Tribolium castaneum: one gene and its partner. The protein of the gene in region 1 purifies or fractionates together with the protein of each later gene. This does not show direct contact. Links are inferred from orthologs where the notes say so. Each region holds a gene or a part of one and is shown on either strand. Other genes may lie near its edges.

Evidence for each region.
Region 2: the proteins of CycH (region 1) and Xpd purify together in Homo sapiens (affinity purification with mass spectrometry; 3 studies listed by BioGRID and IntAct, counting the BioPlex papers as one, with this or other methods). This does not show direct contact. The link is inferred for Tribolium castaneum from reciprocal best matches to the Homo sapiens genes CCNH and ERCC2.

Annotation. Positions count from the first base shown.
Region 1 is NC_087396.1:24,077,262-24,081,109, reverse strand, and holds CycH (cyclin-H), read left to right. Parts: upstream 1-1,547; 5' UTR 1,548-1,632; coding exon 1,633-1,749; intron 1,750-1,796; coding exon 1,797-1,993; intron 1,994-2,044; coding exon 2,045-2,246; intron 2,247-2,556; coding exon 2,557-2,903; intron 2,904-2,951; coding exon 2,952-3,081; 3' UTR 3,082-3,128; downstream 3,129-3,848. UniProt on the Homo sapiens protein: Regulates CDK7, the catalytic subunit of the CDK-activating kinase (CAK) enzymatic complex. CAK activates the cyclin-associated kinases CDK1, CDK2, CDK4 and CDK6 by threonine phosphorylation.
Region 2 is NC_087394.1:27,625,982-27,630,237, forward strand, and holds the start of Xpd (general transcription and DNA repair factor IIH helicase subunit XPD), read left to right. Parts: upstream 1-1,214; 5' UTR 1,215-1,393; coding exon 1,394-1,398; intron 1,399-1,449; coding exon 1,450-1,549; intron 1,550-1,594; coding exon 1,595-1,849; intron 1,850-1,897; coding exon 1,898-2,131; intron 2,132-2,178; coding exon 2,179-2,399; intron 2,400-2,449; coding exon 2,450-2,583; intron 2,584-3,500; coding exon 3,501-4,030; intron 4,031-4,256. Other genes in the region: Tbce (tubulin-specific chaperone E), read left to right, coding at 1-366, 416-701, 748-1,049. UniProt on the Homo sapiens protein: ATP-dependent 5'-3' DNA helicase. Component of the general transcription and DNA repair factor IIH (TFIIH) core complex, not absolutely essential for minimal transcription in vitro.

The DNA of each region.
Region 1 (3,848 bases):
ACTGAAAATTGGTAAATTTCAGATCAGATTGGTTGGCATCTAATGTATTTTCTGACAAATTTAAAATTCATTACCATTTTTTAATCGAATTTAAATTCTCTGTTACCAATACAAGTCTCCAACAAGTACAGTTAAATATTATTATAAAAAATATTTATAAAACTTATTGAAATTGGGTGTAAACTGTATTTGTTCTAAAAATACAAAGCCAACTTGATTTTTTTTAATGTATTTTTTATAAAGAGCATTTTTGTGCTATGGTATAACACCTGCATACCTTATTTTAGTCGAAACTTAAAAAAATACCGAACAAATAAAATTTGGAAAAATATAACATTTTTTTAGTTTATTGTTAGAGCTCTGCCGCTTGAAATTTGATCAAATAATAAGTATAAGTTAATACTATAATTGTTAAAAAACACTTTTAACTGAAGAAGAACACATTTTAATAAAAAAATGTTTAAACACGAAATACATGATTTTTATGTTACAAAAAATGTTCAATATAATTTCCATTGCAATAATGAATACGTTGAACAAAATTTAGCAAAAAATTAATTAAAATATTTTGCGAAATATTGGCAGTTTCGTTTTTTATTCGTTGTAGGTCTTCGATCGCTAAGTATTTTCAAAATTGACTTAGTTTTTTTTCTCTATAAACCTTTATTATTTTTTTTATTATTATTTGTTCAATTTAATTTACAAATTGACATGCATTTGAAGGTTAAACGATAAAAATTTTTTTCTTTTAAACTTGAAATCTTGCTACAGAAAAAAATGTTATATTACATTATATACACGACGATAAAGATTGTTCATCTGCTCATAAAATAAGTAATCAATCTCATTATCGTCTTGTATAATAAATAACTATAATCTTTATATTGTTAATATTGTAATTATTAATTTTTTCCAAGCAATAATGGATATTGAACGAATTTTAAAAATTGCGTAAAAAACCGTTTGTGTTTTAATGAAATTTTGTGCAGAACATCGAGACATTTTTTTTATATGGCGCATATTGTTTGAGACCATGAACTAGATCCTAAATAATGACACAAAGAAATATATTTTTAAACATAAAAATACTTTTAACGACGCTGTTAGATATCTCTTCACTATAAGCAATTAACTATTTCCATAAACAAGTTGTAAACATATATGACAGTTATTACAACTTAAGTAAACATATTATTTTTTACTTTTACTACGTAGCAAAAATGGAAATTTTGTCCCAACAAAAGCCCAGTCGAATCTAACGTACTTGAATTTTAACAACGGTTATTTTTGCTCATTATTGTGTAGGTGTAGATTAATTATTGAAAATCCCACCTTAATACTACCGACTTTGACATTTGTTTGCCATCTAGTAGGCGAGTACAAAACTAGAAACAACAATTTTAATTTTAATTAAATAAAAGTAACGCAGCTAATTACCATATGATACCAAAATTTCTACGTTTTTAATTTTTTTGTAAAATTTTCAAATACATTATATAAAAAATTTAGATTACAGTTTTCTTTAAATAAAGTGTTACAAATTTGCGAGAGAGGTCGGCACGTTGCGTGACAGCCGTCATGTGTCAAACTAGCACGTAACCTAACTAAACAAATTTCAAAATCGCTCAAAATATGTTTTCCACGAGCACGCAGTGTAAAAATTGGATGTTTAACAGCGAAGATGAGTTAAATAAATTACGCGAAGCTGCGAATTTGAAGCATATCCAAGCCTACGGCCGCCACATCAATGTAAGTTTTTCGTGAGTGTTTCACGTTTTTTGAGTTTGTTGGTGCAGGAAGCCGCTCGTTTCGAGTTTTTTCTCACTGCCGAGGAGGAAAAGATAATGGTGAAACGTTACGAAATCCGATTACGCGATTTTTGTAAACGGTTTCAACCTCCGATGACGCGGTGTGTGATCGGGACTGCGTTCCATTATTTCAAGCGTTTTTACATTCACAATTCGGTAATGAACCACCATCCTAAGGAGATAATGTGAGGGGGAGGGATTTGTGTGTTGGTTTATTTTGACTGTGTTTATTAAAGGGTCACGTGTATTTATTTAGCGTGTAAGGTTGAAGAGTTCAATGTTTCCATTCAGCAATTTGTTGCCAATCTCAAAGGCGACAGGGAGAAGGCCACTGATATTATTTTGAACAACGAGTTGTTGCTGATGGAGCAGCTGAATTTCCAGTTGTCGATTCACAATCCGTTCAGGCCAGTGGAGGGACTACTAATTGATATTAAAGTTGGTTCAAGTACCTTGAAAGACTAATTCTAGGAGGCGAGACGGCGCTTTTTACGCTTTTTTGCCCCAAAAACTTCACTCATTTCACCAAGAATTACCAGTGAATTATACCAGCTTTTCAAGAGATGTAAAATTTTGATTTTTTTTGCTTAAAATTTTATGAAAATGAAAATTTTTTTCTTAAACTCTCTCTAGTAAAGTTTTGTGGACTTTTCTATACGTTCACGACTTCCGACCCGAAGTAAAAAATTCGTTTCGCCTCTTAGTTTTATTTCTTCATCGAATTTGATTTCCATTTAATTGTTTTTAGACTAGATGTGCATTAAATGATCCTGAACGTTTAAGGCCTGGAACTGAACATTTTCTCGAGAGAGCATTTTTAACAGACGTTGTGTTATTGTATTCTCCGAGTCAAGTGGCACTAGCTGCTGTTTTACACGCAGCCTCAAAATTGCAAGAAAATTTAGATTCTTACGTCACTGATACACTATTTGGGGTTGAGGGAAGTGGCAAATTGGCTGAATTAATTGAAGCCGTGCGAGCTATCCGATCTATTGTTAAAATGGTCGACGCTACGCCTGATAAAAATCAACAGAAACTTTTAGACAAGAAATTGGAGAAGTGTAGGAATCCTGAAAATAATCCCGATAGTGAAATGTACATCTCCTCCAAATTTTTATTCTTGGGTTAATTGTTACGTTCCAGATATAAGAAACGAATGCAGGCTTTGCTGGACGAAGATGACGATTTGTATCACCGTATTTCGACAAGGACTGATTCTTTGGATAACTCCGCCTTAGGCATGTCAGTGGGTGGTTCACCCGAAGTAGCGTAATATTGTGTACTGTATTTCAATTTTGTGAATAAAAACTATAACTTAAACATTTATTTCCTTGGTACAAAAATGACTTATTACAAATCTTTGGTTGAGTAAATAATTACGAATTTTCGAAATGTCTTCCGAAATTTTGAAGCTGCATCATTGGTGAGTTTTCATTCTGGTGATGTTCCGGAAAGCTGACGTAGTTTGGAACACACTGTCTAGGCACCAGGGGTGTGGTGGGCGGCGGTGGTAACATGCTGGGCACTGAGGGCACACTAGAGAGCCCGGGTTGGCCAGGATAGTTGAAAAACCTAAAAGTTGTTAGCACAAAATACGAAATTAAAAAACATCAAATAAAGCAACTTTTCATTTATTACAAAAAAAAAGAAGTGAATAAATACCATAATCTGTCTCCCAGAAAAATAGGCCTTGGGGTGAGAATCCCCATCGAGGTGTAATATTGCTGTGCTAGAAGTTCGACATCGTTCGTATATTTCCTCTTCCACTTGGTTCTCCGATTTTGGAACCAGATCTTGATTTGCGTCTCCGTTAATTTGAGCGTCTTGGAGAGTTGGCACCTCTTCGCCACCGACAGATATTTGTTCCGTTCAAATTCCGCCTCCAGAGATTTAATCTGTGAGGCTGTGAAGGCCGTCCTCGGCCTCTTCTTCCTCTCATCGTCCGATCTGTTGTCGCCACACTCTAAAAAGCACGAACCCAACACCAAACAGTTGTTTTTAATTTGCCGTGGCGAAATTTATGTTTTAAATGTCGAGTGG
Region 2 (4,256 bases), on another chromosome or scaffold:
ACGATTAGTGAGAGTTTTCCAAACGTGACAACTCTGATTTGTGGGTGTATGGACTTGGACTGGGGGCACATTTGCCAACTTGGACGCATTTTCCCGTCAGTTGAAGAGTTCAGAGCTCCGAATAACAAAATCCGGGGGCTTAGCACACCTGAGGGGTTTTTCACCAAATTAAAGTTGCTCGATCTTGAAGGGAATAACATTGAGTTTTGGACGGAGGTCTGCAAATTGGGGGATTTACCGCACTTGGAGCAACTTATTCTGGAGAATATTGGGCTCCAGTTGATTGAGTTTGAGGGTGATTCCCCCAAAGTACAAGCTTTCAGAGCGATGAAAAAATTATGTGTTGTGAAAAACTTGATCCGTGAGGTAAGACTGAAACTTTGTTCGTTTCCGTTCATGAGAGGATTGATTTTAGTGGCGTTCTGTGGCTGAGTTAAATCGGCTTGAAAGTTTAGAAAATCTGCGATTTTCCAAAAACCCCATCACAGAATCGGAAGAACCTGACACTATCCATCAAATAATAATCGCAAAAATTGCCAACTTGAAAATTTTAAATGGGGTTGAGATTGAAGCCACTGAGAGACGGGGGGCTGAATACGACTACATGAAAAAGTACGGTCTTGAATGGTTGGACGCCAAGGGTACCAACAAAGAGGCTGATTTTCTCAAAACCCACAACAGATATTTGGAATTGATACAAAGTCTGTTTATATTTTTTTTGTTACGTTTTTACGGTTATTTTTGCAGAATATGGCGAGCTGGAAGAGAGTGAACTTGTCTCAAAACCGAAAATTATTAAAAATACGTTGGTCCAATTAAGTATAGTTTTTGAGGACTTTACGGTAGAAAAGAAAGTGCCTCTCACAATGACTGTGCAAAAACTTATAGTCCTCACACAGAAAATGTTCAGCTTGAGTGGAAGGCCCCACTTGATTTACGCCAGCAAGAGCGATCCAGAAATCGAGATTCTTCTAGAGGATGAAATGAAAGAAATCGGAGTTTACTCAATGCAAAATGGTGATAAAATTATCGTGAAAGACAAAGTGTGATTGATTTTGTGTTGTACAAAACCATTAATTTATTCAATAAAGTTTTTAATAAATATTTTCCAAATAAAAAGGTGTTTTCTTCTTGAATACTTGAATACATTACATAACCCTACTTATTATAGAATCTTTGAATAACTGATAGAATACGTGGTTCCAGCTCACAGGACTTAAATTTTTAGGCCCCCTTCTTCCTTACTAATCGATTAGCAGCAATAGAAACGTTCCTATTGTTAGAAAATATTACAAAAAATTGCATAACCGCACTTTTTTCCAAACATGCCATAACCTAAAAAAACTACCGGGTCAATGTAAACACCACGGTTTCACCCAGCACCATACAAAAAATGAAGTAAGAACCCGACTATTGGCACTTGAGTTGCCTCAAAACCGAAAATTTTAGACTAAACGTCGATGGCTTAATCGTGTACTTCCCCTATGACTACATCTACCCCGAGCAGTATGCCTACATGTGCGAGCTCAAGCGGGCCCTGGACGCCAAAGTACGCTCCCCGCCTTTCACAGCCCCTTTTTTATGTTAATTTTAGGGCCACTGCCTTTTGGAAATGCCCTCAGGGACGGGTAAGACCACCACCATTCTCTCCCTCGTTGTTGCATACATGCTCGAGCACCCCCATGACGTCCGCAAGTTGATCTACTGCTCTCGTACTGTCCCCGAAATCGAGAAAGTTATGGAAGAATTGAAAAAACTGCTCGAGTATTATGAGAAGTTGGACGGGGAGTACCCCCATCTCCTGGGGCTGGTTTTGTCCTCACGGAAGAATCTATGTATTCACCCGGAAGTAGGTGATTTGGGGGTGCATAACCGGGCTTGATTTTGCAAATTTCAGGTGAGTACTGAGCGCGAGGGTAAGATTGTGGACGGAAAATGCCACGCACTAACGGCGAGTTACATAAGGGAGAGGCACAATTACGATGATACAACTCCCATTTGTCAGTATTACGAAGGTTTCGCTTTGGATGGCAAAGAAAGTACGATGCCGTTTGGGGTTTACAGTATAGATGATTTGAAACAGTACGGACGGGACCGCAACTGGTGCCCCTATTTCCTGTCTCGTTTTGTGGTACTTGAGGTCACACTTTACATTGCACTTCTGACCCTTTTTCCTAGATAAGTTACGCGAATATCGTAGTCTACAGTTACCACTATTTACTAGACCCCAAGATCGCCGAAGTCGTCTCCAAAGAGCTGACACGAGAGTCAGTTGTTATTTTCGATGAGGCTCACAATATCGATAATGTTTGCATCGACTCAATGAGTGTGAAAATCAACAAACGAATTATCGATCGAGCTTCCGCCAACATCCAGTTATTGGAACGTACTGTGGCCGAGTAAATCCCCGGAAGTTTAAGTTTTCTCTGGATTTTTTAAAATTTTTTAGGATGCGTGAAGACGATCACAAAAAATTGCAAGAAGAATATCAGAGATTAGTTGAGGGGCTGCGCGACGCTAGCGTGGCGCGAGACACTGACGTCATTTTGGCCAATCCGGTCTTGCCCGACGCCATCCTCCAGGGTAATACCCGAATTAGATTTATATATTCCGTGACGTTGAAATTAAGTTGGCAACACTGAGTGATATAGACACAGCTTAATGCGTTGACAAAAATGAAGAAATTTAGTGATTTTTAGCCAAAAAACTTTGTACTTAACAGCTTGAGAATTTAAAAAATAACACTGTTTTCAAAGTTTGATAATTTTTAACTTATTTTTAGCAAAATTTCACTCGAAAACGAGGTCATTCGAATGAAACAAACTCAATAGTATAATTTTCGATTTGTGTATAATTTTTAAACATGTTTAACAAAGTTAAAAAACTAAACAGATCTGACCTGACCTGACCTGACAATAAATAAATAAAATAGGTAGCATCAATTGCGATATATTTTCCTGGATTTTCATCCTTTTTTCAACGAATTTTTTTGGAGGAAAACCTTGTTTTTTTCTCATAAACCTGGTAAACACTCGGTAAAGCCAAATTTGGTTGACCTAATTCAGTCGAATATTTTTCAACGAAACAATCTTCAACGAAATAACTGTTTCTAAATAAAAACACATGAAAAAAGCAAAAAATAATGTCATTTTCGATTAAATAAGAATCTTTTTTCTGCTGAAATCTCTCAAAAGTAAACTTATTTGCTTATTTTTTGTCTTATTTTTGAGGGCATTATTCGAAATCATTGAACTTCAGGCTAAAACAACCATACAAAATGCTCGGAAAATGCAAAAATAATCGCATTTTCGATGATATTTTGTGATTTGTCCGCCTGGTTTAGTAATGCTTTGAGAAGAATTTTGTAGCTCAAAAATGCACTTAAATGCTAGACAGAGGCAAAAATATTGCCATTTCCGAATTAATTTTTTGGGCTGATTGTTATTTATTATGTCAGTAATTCGAAAAAAAATTAAATTGCGTAATTTATTAATTTTCAGAGGCCGTCCCTGGAAATATTCGCAACGCCGAGCACTTTGTCAGTTTCCTGAAACGTTTCCTCGAATACCTCAAAACTCGGCTGCGAGTCCAGCACGTGGTGCAAGAAAGCCCTGCTGGATTTTTAAAAGACGTCCAATCCAAAGTCTGTATTGAACGAAAACCGTTACGTTTCTGTGCTGAACGCTTGGCATCTCTGTTGAGAACTTTGGAAATATCAGACTTGACCGACTTCAGTCCGGTCATTTTAGTCACACATTTGGCCACTTTGGTGGCCACTTATACGAAAGGTTTTACGATAATCGTAGAACCGTTTGATGATAAGACACCGACGGTGTCAAACCCGATCTTACATTTCAGTTGTTTGGATTCGTCGATTGCCATAAAACCGGTTTTTGATCGGTTTCAAACCGTGGTTATAACCTCTGGAACCCTATCCCCTCTAGATATGTACCCCAAGATTTTGAACTTCCATCCTGTGATCATGTCTTCGTTCACTATGACGTTGGCCAGGCCTTGTTTGCTACCAATGGTAAGTCCAGAGGTTGGTGGAGTTCATCATTGACCATTGAATGTTAAGTTATTTAAATAAATTTGCACAAAATTTATAGTATATGTGCGGAATAAACACCGTTTATTTTTTGCATTTTTGAACGTAGCTTTTCATGACTCTTTGTGAGGAAGTTTTGGGGTAATTATTCAAAAACCAAGAATAATAAAAAAAAAAAAATTGAATCATTTTTAAGGAAGAAAGTAGG